Ovis aries: one gene and its partners. The protein of the gene in region 2 interacts with the protein of the main gene of each other region in a pairwise test. Links are inferred from orthologs where the notes say so. Each region holds a gene or a part of one and is shown on either strand. Other genes may lie near its edges. The genes, in order: STAC, NCKIPSD and PSMD9.

Region 1 (4,038 bases), about 41 Mb from region 2:
CCACAAAGTAGTTGTTACTCTTATCAGGAGAGAAAAAAAGTTATTTTAAAAATGCATAGTGAAATCTCATAATCAAAACAGATGAGCAAATATAACCAAACAGAAATAGACTCGTAGATACAGAGGACAAACCAGTAGTTGCCAGAGGGGAGGGAGGTGAGGTGAATGAGTGAGTGAGGCGAAGAGGATTAAGAGGTACAAGCTATTAGTTATAAAATAAGTAAGTCACAGGGTGCGATGGATAGCACAGGGAATACAGTCAGTAACACTGAGTTAATTTTGTATGCTGATTAATCTAGAACAACACGGAATCGCTGTGTTGTAGACTTGAAACTAATACAATACCGTAAGTCAATCAGACTTTAATAAAATAAAAGAAAAAATGAATTTCAAAAGTCCTTCTTGAGAAAGGTTACTGTCCAGGGGGGCTAAACCATGCCTGTCCCACATGGTATTTTGACAAACAGATCACTTCAGAGGGGAGTAGTATGGGATGACGAGCTGTCCATGTTCTCCTACCAGACACTCGTTGTCAGATGGAAGATCCTTGTAAACGCCAATAAACCTTCAAATGTGGTGCTCCTGGTGCAGAATGAATAGAGCCTGCCTCTGTTCCTGTTTCTTGCCATCCTGCTGATCCCTACCGCACAGCCTCCACATCAACAGTTTAGCCCTTTTGAGAAGCATGGGGCCCCTTGGAGAGTATCAAAAACACTATGCCAAAAAAATTTCACATTCAGGCACAGTACCTTGCATTCAGTTTCTTGGGGTTCATGGACAACCCCCCATAGCCTGTCTCCACTGATTAAGAACACCTAAGCTATGACAGCACATTTAGGAATATATAAATACACATAGAGAAAAACCGACGCGCACAAGCCTGAAACCATAAGCCAGATAAATTGGTGGATAATGATGGGTATTACATATGTAGTCTTTGCTTTGCCAAAGAATTTACATTAGGGTATCTATAAATAGCAAGCCCATACAGTGTGTTTGAACCATGCTGCTATAAAATCAAATGCTAAGCCCCTTCCAGAACATACCTACTGCAGAGCAACAGGCCCAATTATAAAAGCTGATTATTAGTTTCAGTCTTGAGTTTAGTTACATTCATTTCCAGGATTCTAGATCACCTGTGAAGTGCCCACTACCCCGCATCACCTAGGTGAGGGACCGTCAATGGCACACAATGGTAGAGAGCCAGTAACATCTGATTGCAGGGGCAGTGGTCCGTGTGTGGGGGTTGTGAGACCCATTTGGAGTGAATTGTCTGTGGTGAGATGGATCCCATCTCCTTATCTCAGGAAGGAAAACAGTGAATAGGATTGAGTCCTTACTCTGTACTGGGTGGGTGTTAGGTCATCTCTCTCTGCCTCTCAATGATTCTGGAAGGTGGGGTTTTTGCCCCTGTTTACAATTAAGTTTTAGAAAAGTTGACACACATGTTCCAGGTCAGACATTTGCCCCCAAAATAAAGATAATGCCAAGCATTATCTTGGCATTGTCTTGGATTAGCATCTCTGATGGTTAACCTTCAGAGGCTGGGATACTGTCCAGAGGGCAGGATCACTTAGGATGGGAGTCACTTAGCTATGCTTGTGATCCTGCTGATTTGCTGATGGCTTCCAGGGATGGGTGTGAAGGCAGAAAAGGACGAGACTCTTCCTGGCCCCATCTGACCTGCTCTCCACACTGGCATCCTCCTCTCCTTCATTCCTGCACAAGAACTGCCCCACATTCCAAAGACACCCAGGGAACCCACAAGGAGGTCTGGAAAAAGAGCCAGGAGCCCTGCGCTTAAGGAATCCATATAACTACGAACTCCATCTTATGGTTTTTACTCCCGACTGAGATGCCATTTGGCATCGCACAGCTAGCAGCCGCATTTTACTTGATCCTCTTCCAAGATTTCCAAACATGCGCCTGGCACCAGTGAACGTTTCAGAGTAAGTGTAACAGTGACGGAAGTGCCGCGGGGTTGACTTTGTGTGTATCAGTGTAACTCTCACAAAAGCAAGTTTAAGTGCGAGGACTAACTTCCACGAGAGGATCATCAACTTTCCCGAGAAGGTAGCATTTACCTAATTTTTCTGAAATCAGCGGTATCCGAGGTTAGGGATGAGTCCGGTTAGCCTAAGGGTCTCAGGCCCTTGGGATACAGGCGAACCTTTGCTGGTTCGCAAATGCCCCGGCTTTTCTGGAGGAGTGTCCTGGGCTGTCTGTCCCTCAGCCTTCAGAAGCCGCCTAATACCCACACGCGCTTTAGGCACATGCAGGTTCAAAGCACAGAACAAGCACGCCACCACCACCCAGGAAAGCGATCCGAACCCGGAGCCACTGTGAACTGCGGGTGCTCGCAGGGCAGGAGCCCAGCGCAAAGCCCCGGGGCCGTGCGGACAAGAAGACTGGATCCCCAGCGACGTGGTCCAGCATCGCTAGCAGCGAGTCCTGCCGGGCATTCAAATCTCAAGGGAGCACAGTCCTTGAGAAGAACTAGGGACGCGTCTTAGCCTCCGGCGCCAGCGCCAGTAGGGAGGAAACAGAGGTGGACAAGAGAGGAAGAGGAGTGAGTTTGTGTCCTCTCGGGGCAAGCGTGCGCGGTACCTTGGATTCCTGACTGCCGGTGGATGCAGGAGAGGGCGGCTGCTCGGCGCTCGCCGTCTCCTTGGGCAGCCCGTCCACGCCGTCCTCGCGGGCGCCGCTCGGGGGGATCATCGTGGCGGCGCGGGAACGGTGTTGGGCTCCCGGAGGAACCGCGAGGCTCGCCTCCCTCCGGAGCGCCCTCCCCGCCGCGCGCAGGCTCGCTCAGCTTCTGAGGCCGGGGACTCCCATCCTCGCCCAGGCGCCGCCGCGCCCTCCTCCGGCCTCGCCCCCGCCCCGGCCCTGCCCACCTCCCGGCGCCCGCCCGGGCTGGGGGAGAGCGCGCCCGCGGCCACCTCGGCGACGACCGCACAGTCGTGACTGCCGCTCGGCCGCTTGCGAGTGGGCTCCGGCTGACCCGCTCTCCGGAGAAGGGTGGGTGGGGGTGGGTGGCTCCGGGGCGGGGCTGCGCGGGCCCTCGCGGGGAACAGCAGGGGGCCGCGCCCTAGGGAGGCCCTGCGACCAGGCTGGGCGAGCTCGGGTGCTCGGCACGGTCCCGGGATGCTTTAGGAGGTAGAAGGAAAATTCAGACCAAAGCCCGAGTGATCCAGCGGGAGGGACCACCTGCAGCAACTCCCTGCTTCTGCACCCGGAGAAACTGCGACTCTCAGGGAGCCGGGATCCGGTGACTTAGCCAAGTTATTTATAGGGTTCAGTGACGGAGGAAGCAGAGCTGGGGTTTCCTGGCCTGAGGGCGCTCCTCTTTCCTCGGTTCAGCTTTGGACTGAAGCAGAGAGAGACTGCAAAACGTGGATGTGCCCTAGTTTGGTTGTGCGTTTATGTGTTAAGCCGGTCACACTTTTTACATATTTAATCCTCAGAGCCACCCTATTAGGCTAGGTGTTATTAATATCATTCTCATTCATAGATGAGAAAACTAGGAGACTAACTAATCTGCTCTAAGTGGCTGAACTATAAATGGTGGAGCTGGGATTTGAACCCATTTTGGCTTCAAAATCCATGCTTTTTGGACTGTGGGGCCTCAAATCCAGGCCAAATCTTCTCAGCTGTGGAGTAAGTGGGTATTGCAAGATAGCAAGAATGTCAGGGCTGTTTGCGGAGGGGCAAACCAGGGTGTCTTAGCAGATCTTTTGGAAACAGAGAGATGGCCCCATGGAATAAAGGGGCAGAAGGACCTGGTACCTTTTGAAGAAAAACCTCGATGTGCAGGGGAGGAAATACATCTGGATATTTAAACCATCCTCTGCCCCCATACAAAACTGCTTAATTTTCTAACAGGCAACTATAAACTCATGTTCAGATTTTATTTATTAACTATAAATGTTTGCAAGGCCAGCTTCATGGTTTTACTGAATGCAAGCTCATGTGCCCAATGCACAGTGAAGCCAAACCAGCTGAAAAGTCGGAGTTTGGGGCAGTACTCCAGGGCTTGTG
Region 2 (4,133 bases):
CGGTCAATGGCTTGGAGGACATCCTGCTCCAGGCCCTGTGAGGGGGGCAGGAGTGGGCTCTTAGCCCTGGGGGCCAGGTGAGGGCACGGAGGCCAGCGCCAGCCCTGGAGGGAGCCTGGCGCAGGCAGAGGGCCACAGCTGCTCTCAAAGCCTGGAATACTAGAGACCAACACAGCAAGATGAACTAGATATCAATCGGGGCTCTCAAACTGCGTCACTTGGGAAGCTGGGCCACAGGGAGGGGCCCAGGCTGCTGCTTTATATATCAGGCCCCCGCTCGCGATTTTACCTATGGTGAGGCTCTCGGCTAAGTCATCTCTGAAAGTCTGGGCTCTGAAGCAAACACACAGCCCACAGACCCCTAGTTTGAGGCCAGGAGTGCACACTAACTCTATCGCCAGGCTTGGCTCAGATCCCAGGCTGAGGTGCCAAGCAGGGAGCCTCTAGGGTCTGGAGCTCTGAACAAAACCCTCTGGATCTTTCTGACCCGTCACAAAACCAAGGCCACACTCCAGGACAGCCCCATCCTCAGAGAGCCTTCTGCAGGCCCTGGTAGCTGAGGACAGGCCAAAGGGACCTCCTCTTTGGACCCGTGTTGCCAGCCCTCATCCCCTCTAGCTGTGAGAAAGGAATCCTCCAGAGCTGTGCTGGGGAACAGCAGTTCTGGGTTTGTGGCAGAAGACAGACATAAGCGTGGAACCTGGCCCCTGCCCCAGAGTTTGTGTCGCCATCCACCGCAGCTCAGGGGTCCCCTTGACCCAGCCTGGCTGGCATGGGGTGGGGGGAGTAGGGGGCTGCCAACTGCGGGACCAGTCACTCGCACCCCTCCCTTGCCCTTGGCACCCATGGTCCATCAGGCACAGGGGCCTCAGAACTAAGATAAGATCACACCAGAGTGGGTTGGAGAGGCTTCTCGGACAGGGACAGACAGATGGACTCAGAGGTCAGCAGAGCCCCAAAGGTAACAGGGGGCATGTCAGAGTGCAGGAGATAGCAGACAGAAAAGGGGACAGAGCAAGACCGGCAGACGATGCACAGAAAGCAAGAAAGATGGTGAGAGAGAGAGGGAGGGGGAGAGAGAGAGAGAGGAAAAGAGAGAAGCAGAGGGAGACAGCGCAGAAAGAAATTGAGATTCGGAGACAGAGAAGGGGAGAGAGTTGGAGGATGTGGACACACACAAGGGGAGAGTCAGAATGACACAGAGACAGCCAGGGAGACCAAGACGGAGGGAGACACGCAGCAAGAAACCAAGAGACAGAGAAGGTGGTACCCTCTCTGCCCTCCCCAAACACCCAGCCCCAATAGCCAAGGCAGGCGAGGGGCCTCACAGGCCCTGGGGGAAAGTGGAGGACTTTCCCTGGAGGCCTCCAACAAGCCCCCAGCCCCAGAGAGACTGGCTCTGACATGCTCAATTCCAGACCCAGCAGCCCTGGTGTCCGAGGCTTCCGCTCCCACCCAGGCACTCCTGGATGCCACGAGGCCAAGGGTCCAGGGCCCCGGGCCCATCCCCTCGGGTAAAAGCCACAGATGACATCTCCAAATTTATCCTGTTATTTCTGTCCTGAACTGGGCCGGCTTGGGATGCTTCCTTCAGCCAGAGACTAGGATGGGGCGGGGGTGTCTGGCACAGGGCAGGCCTGGAGGCTCTGGGCCCTCCTTCCCCCTGAGATCAGAATAGACCAGCTGGAGACAATGCAGCCCAACCCCCACACCAGGTCTATTCTGGGGGAAACAGGAACTGGGGCTGTACCTCCAGTGGAAGGAAACAGGGGAGCCATGGCCACACCAGGGGAAGCCGTGGGGAAGTCCCACTTCCTTGCTAAGGGAGCAGCTCCCACCCTAGGCTGGGGACAAGGAAGGCTCAGGCTCCCTCACTTTCCAAGAAAGGAAGTCTGAAAAGTCAGGGCCTGAGGCTTGTAGTGCCAGGGAGTGTCAGCAGGAGCTGGGAACCCAGGCTCAAAGTAGATTGACGAAAGTGTTTTGGGAAGAGCTTAGGGGCTGAATAAGTACAGGACAATAAAAGATATTGAGGTCTCAGGGCTTGGGGGGTCACTTAGGGGATGGGGGTGTACACGGCTTCCTGGTCCAAGTGCGGGGGGGTGGGATGGGAGGGTGAAGACGTAGAAGATGGCTGGGGAAACAGAAAGTGCCCAGGGTTGCCGGGGGTCTCAGGGGTGGAAGCTGTGGAAGAGGAGGCAAGAGTGTTGGGATCCTGGTGATCCAGGCGAGGGGCCAATTAAGTCAGGGGTTTCCGTGACCTGGGGAACTGCTCAGTATCTGGTGTACTGGAATCTCGGGGCTGACTCTTGAATTGTATTCGGCTGGGGATTCAGATGTGGGGTCTGGGGCCTCGGTCCCAGAGTTAGGCTTTAGGTAGGTCTGGAGTCCTCAAGAGTTGGCTGTCAAGGGCCTGGTCCTCTGTGGAGGGAGCGGGCTCTCAGGGTCCCAGTCCCCGCGGGGTCTCTCGGTCAGGTTCTCAAAGTCCTCATCTGCTGGAGGTCCCGACCGGCCGGTGATGGAGCTCAGTCTAGGGGCGGCGGAGGCCGGGCCGGGGAGGGGCACACTCACCTGCAGGCGGCGCAGGTAGGCGGGCGGCACGTAGCCGGTCTCACCGCTGCGCGCCCGCGCCGCCAACCACCAGTGCGCGCTGCTGCGCTCCAGCACCAGGAAGGTCTCGCCCGCGGCGAACGCCAGCGCATTGGGCTCCGCCGAGCGGAACGCGTACAGCGCGCGGTACATGAGGCCGAGTCGCGCCGGGGCAGGGGAGACGGCGCGGGGCTGAAGAACCAGGACGCCAGGCCGGCAGCTCCTCGCCGTGCTCGCCCTGCCCCGTGACACACGGCGCGTGCGCGCGCGCGCCCGCCAGCCCGCCGCAGTCCCGCCCCGGCAGTGTCGGCTCCTGCGCGGGAGCGCGGCGCCCCCTGGCGGCCCCGAGGGGCGCGGCTCTCGAGAGTCCACCGCCCTTTCCGAGGACTGTCTTCTCCAAGCTCCAGACTCCCTGACCCGGCACCCCGCCTAGAGCCCCCAGCCCCAGCTGCTCCTGCCCGGCCCTCCACTCCTTTTACCGGCTCAAGCCCTAGTACTGCGGCCCACCCTACTTCACAAAGGAGAGCTCGCCCGCAGCCCAAAGGCAGAGCCTGTGTCCTGTGCTGATAAGCCTCTTGCATCTATGCCACCCCAGGGAAGTGGATCCTGACCTACTAAATTAAGGACAGCAACCCCGGGTCTCTTGTGTCTCGAGGCGTGCTGAGCTCACTTCTTTAAGCGCCAGCGGTGGGCAACGGGGAGCAAGAGTGGAGAGGGGGCTGCAGAAACAAAAACCAGGTCAGGCCATTTCGCTGCCCATAGTCCTCCCATCCTCAGTCCCCGTCGCTTCTCTTCTGCCACTGACTACTCTCTTCCTCTCTAACGTGGGTCCTTGCATATCCATTCTTCTGCCTGGGACACTACTTCCCTCCTCACAGCATAAGGTCAGGCTCCCACCCTTATCAGTCACTTCCACATCACTCTCTTCTGCGGTCTTTGGAGACTTACAAATCCGTTATCTTTATTTCTGATGCTTCCTTCTGAGAGCAGATAGAAGGGCTGGTGGATGAGGATTGGGGTACCATGTGGCGTTAAGAGCCTGTCTGGCCCACCTTCCAGTCAGCCCTGACCTGGGGAGGTCATTGTAGTCCTATGAAGCAGCAGGGAAAACCAAGGGTACCTGGGTTTCAATAAACCCAGAGTTCTGGGGACCACCCATCGCCGTCCAGAGACTGGTCCAGTCACATTCTTCTCTGGAAGCCTGGACCCAGGGAGCAGGTAGGCACAACCCGGCCAGTGTATGCAGGTGGGTGATTTTGGATATAGTGGATATAGGCACAGGACCTGGGAGAGAAGGTGCTGAGAGGTTCAAGCAAGAGGTGGGGCTGCTAGACCTGGACATCCAGATCCTCCTTTCTTGGCACTAGTTCCGGGTCCTTCTCCCTCATGCCTGTGCCAGCAGTTCGAGATCTCGTGCCACACTTCTCCCTGAAACCCTCTGAGAACAGAGCAGAAACAGCTCTCTTGGGGGCTGCCCGGCTGGAACCATATGAAGGATGGCACTGGCATGGCTGCAGTGGGCTCCAGGGCTGGGTAGGAGTGCTGGC
Region 3 (4,009 bases), on a different chromosome or scaffold from region 2:
CCTCAGAGCTCCAGAAGGAATCAAACCTACCAACTCCTTGATTTCACACTGCTGGTCTCCACAACTGAGAGAGGATAAACTTCTGCTGTTTTAAGCCACCAAGTTTGTGATCATTTGTTACGGTGACCCCAGGAAACTAATACACACAGAAAGTAATAAATGAGGGCTGTAATGATCTGCACAGAGACTAACTGCTGAGCATACACAGGTTCCAAGGGGAGGGATTCCATTCACTTCTCTCCCTTTCCTTCTGAAAGCCTGTGGGTTACACTTACTGTTTTCTGTTCATGGGGAAGGGGGTCTCGTATACTCCCTTAACCCAGGACTCTCTATAGATACGGTATAAATGTGCCAGGGGCTAATATCTGTATCTGCCTCCTGTATGCTCACAATGATTAAGAGTTGACTGGCCTTCCTGATTGCAGTAAGGCAATACTGCATCAGAGACTGGTTTCCAACGTTGGGACCTGGGCCACTGGCAACTCATATACAAGGCATTTAATAACCCTGAATCTAAAATACTTATTCCCTTTCCAAATATCATCAATCCTCCAGTAGTCAAAGAAAAAGTCGTGCTGGTCTCCATATTATCTCCAGATCACTTGTTATATCTGGGCCTCTCCATTTTTAAAAACAGCTTTATTCAGATATAATTCATACACTATGCAATCCACCCATTTAAAGTGTATAATTCTGAATGTCCCTGGCAGTCTGCTGCTGCTGCTAAATCGCTTCAGTTGTGTCCGACTCTGTGCGACCCTACAGACAGCAGCCCATCAGGCTCCCCCGTCCCTGGGATTCTCCAAGCAAGAACACTGGAGTGGGTTGCCATTTCCTTCTCCAATGCATGAAAGTGAAAAGTGAAAGTGAAGTCACTCGGTCGTGTCAGACTCTTAGCGACCCCATGGACTGCAGCCTACCAGGCTCCTCTGTCCATGAGATTTTCCAGGCAAGAGTACTGGAGTGGGGTGCCATTGTAGTTAAGAATTCTGTGCTTCCACTGCAGGGAGCACAGTTTCCATCATTGGTCAAGTAACTAAGATCATGCTGCGTGGTGCAGCCAAATAAATAAATGTACCATTCAGTGGTTTTTAGAATATTCATAGAATTATGAAATCATCACCACAATCAATTTAAAAACACTTTCACCACCATCCAAAAAGAAACTCTGACCCACTAGCAGCCACTTCCATCTCCCCCTCCCCTCAGCCCCTGGCAACCACGAATCTACCTTCTGTCCATGAATTTGCCTATTCTAGATCTTTCATATAAATGGAATCATAAAATGTGTGGTCTTTTGTGATGAATTTCTTTCACTTAGCTTTCAAAGTTCATGATCTTTTGTAGCATATGTAGCACTTCACTGTTTTTTATTTAAGTAATATCCCATTGTATGGACAGACCACATTTCATTATCCATTCATCAGGTGACAGATACATGGATAGATCACCTTTGGGGGGGGATCACTTTCATTAGTTCATATTTAAGGAAAGAGATTCTTATGTTTTCATATGCTGTGAAGTTACAAAATTTCCTTTAAAAATAAGATTAAGTAAAAAAATATGGGTTAACTTAAAGGAAAATAACAAGGGAGTAACAGTACAGGAGGTATACAGACACAGCATCCTGTCTGCAGTAGAAAAATAACTCAGGTGTGAGAAACCACTTGAAAGCACAGATTCTGGATTCCCTAGGCATAAGATCTAAATCTCATCTTGTGACTTCCCCTTTCTGAGTCCCAGAGTAACATACCAACTTCATAGAGCAGTTAAGAGGATTCCAGGATATAGCATACACATAAACCAGCTCAATTCAGGCACACAGTCAGCACCCAGTAAAAGGGTACCCTGGCCTCCACATGATACTTCATCTTATAAGCATCACCTACATTGCACTTCATCCACCCTGTATAGAATGTAATTCATTTACTCTTCCTCGGCAAATTGATTTGTGGTTTTACGCTAGGTGGCTTAAGAAAAACTGTATCCGTTTTGGAGCCAGAGAGGCCTGAGAACTAACCCCGTCACAGCCACTTCCGACGTACAGGACCCTAGGCAAGGGTTTGCCCCACTCTTGGCCCCAGTTTCCTCCTTATACCGTAAGGATAATAAACCTTTCCTGTTATGTTCTTACACCAGTGGCATCAGCATCGCTGGGAATTTGCAGAAATGCAGTAGCTGTTCCCACACACCCGTGCATCATCAGAATCTGAATTTTAATAAGATCGCCAGGTGATTCGCGTACACATTAAAGTTTAAGAAGCTCTAAGGTAAAGTGGTTACAGGACATCTGGTAACTGTACGACCGATGCCAGAGATGATTATCACCCTGCCTCTGCAAATTTATTAGCCCTGAAAGAGGCGGACACGACTGAGCGACTGAACTGAACTGCGACTTCAGGCAGGTTTAAGTAATGTCTCTTTCTCCATCCCTAAAATGGGTGAAATAATAGAACTCACCTCAAAAGATTATTGGGAGGATTAAATGCGTTAACCAATGTGAAGCGTTTAACACAGCTCCCAGTGAGGGCTCCATAAATGCTTGCTAGAACATCGATTCGAATCCTTCCTAGTTATTCACGTTACTTGCCTCATTGCCCGGCCTGGGGCCGCGTCAGGAATGCGTTGCGGGGCCTCCCAGCCCGCCCGGGAGCCCAGTTCCCACACTCACGCTCTCCAGCACTTCATAATTGGCTTTGATCTGGGCCTCGATCTCCTCCTTGCGCCGTATCAGTTCCTGAATGTCGCTGACAGTTACACCACTGGCCTCCGAGGAGCCCCCACTCTGACTCCCTGCCTTCTCCGACATTGTGCACGTCTACCCGGGACCTAGAACTGCCGGTTTCCCGGCCGCGGACGCCCGAGGAAACTGTAGCTACGGCTCCGCGCGCGGGCCAAAACACCTCGGCTGTTCGCGGGAGCCCGGAAAAGTAAAAGGTGTGGTTTTGTCTGTGGGGCGTGGTCACCAGAAACCACACCCTGCTGGAACAAGTGGTCCTGTGGTAACTCTTGGCGGGAGGTATGAGGACGGATGGATTCCCAGTCCCACCCAAGCGCTGGCCCAGACCAGGGCATGATGAACTCTCTCTAGTTGACTCGCTTTCTTTTCTCATTCATTCAGCTATGTATTGAGCGCCTCCTGTATGCATGGGGCAGCGCACTGTGCGTGGCGCTCCATTTCAGCTCTGCATCTACACAGTCCTTGAGGGTTTACATAATACTCAGATTCCTGGTTTTACAAAGCCTATAAGCTTGGGTTGAAATCCCAGCTCTTGCCTCTTACTGCCAGTAGTGGCCTAGATAAATCACTTCACTGAGCCTCCATTTCCTTATCCGTGAGTTGGTTGGCTATTGATAGCAATCTATCTCATAGTGTTGACATTCATATGACATATGATATTCATATGACATAGTGTTGACCTGTTTGCAAAATGCAAACAAGTATTTATTGAATGCCTCCTTTGTGTCATACACTGTCCTAGGTGCTGGAAGGGCAAAGAAGTGGGCACTGGACTCAGTGTGTCTCATATTAAGGTCTCTATAAATATCAGTAAAAATAGTATTGATGACAACAATAATATCAATACTAATAATTTATCAAATACAACGCATTGCACTGTTCTAAGGGCCCTATGTGTATTAATTCAACAAATTTGGGACTCCCCTGGTGGTCCAGTGGCTAAGACTGTGGGCTTCCAATGCAGGGGGCCAGGGTTCAATCCCTGGTCAAGGAACTAGATCCCACATGCCTCAACCAAGAGTTTACATGTGGCAACTTAAAAAAAGATCCCGCATGCTCCAAAGATTTGAAACTCGGCGCAGCCAAATAAATTGTTTTAAAAAATTCAACAAACTCATAAACCAGGATTATTATTACTCTCATTTGACAGGTGAGAAAAATCATCTCAATGACTCACTTGCCCAGCTAGCAAAATAAGCAGCCCCAATTTGAACCCAGCTTAACCAAAAGATGACACAACCTCTTAACATGTTCCCACTGACATTTTGC

What was found.
Region 1: the proteins of NCKIPSD (region 2) and STAC interact in binary tests that used the Homo sapiens proteins (3 or more experiments, as listed by UniProt). The link is inferred for Ovis aries from reciprocal best matches to the Homo sapiens genes NCKIPSD and STAC.
Region 3: the proteins of NCKIPSD (region 2) and PSMD9 interact in binary tests that used the Homo sapiens proteins (3 or more experiments, as listed by UniProt). The two-hybrid records come from large-scale screens. The link is inferred for Ovis aries from reciprocal best matches to the Homo sapiens genes NCKIPSD and PSMD9.

What each region holds. Positions count from the first base shown.
Region 1 is NC_056072.1:10,158,962-10,162,999, reverse strand, and holds the start of STAC (SH3 and cysteine-rich domain-containing protein), read right to left. Parts: upstream 2,818-4,038; 5' UTR 2,719-2,817; coding exon 2,608-2,718; intron 1-2,607. UniProt on the Homo sapiens protein: Promotes expression of the ion channel CACNA1H at the cell membrane, and thereby contributes to the regulation of channel activity.
Region 2 is NC_056072.1:51,240,135-51,244,267, reverse strand, and holds the start of NCKIPSD (NCK-interacting protein with SH3 domain), read right to left. Parts: upstream 2,837-4,133; 5' UTR 2,740-2,836; coding exon 2,569-2,739; intron 36-2,568; coding exon 1-35. UniProt on the Homo sapiens protein: Has an important role in stress fiber formation induced by active diaphanous protein homolog 1 (DRF1). Induces microspike formation, in vivo. In vitro, stimulates N-WASP-induced ARP2/3 complex activation in the absence of CDC42.
Region 3 is NC_056070.1:53,464,545-53,468,553, forward strand, and holds the start of PSMD9 (26S proteasome non-ATPase regulatory subunit 9), read right to left. Parts: upstream 2,838-4,009; 5' UTR 2,810-2,837; coding exon 2,672-2,809; intron 1-2,671. UniProt on the Homo sapiens protein: Acts as a chaperone during the assembly of the 26S proteasome, specifically of the base subcomplex of the PA700/19S regulatory complex (RC).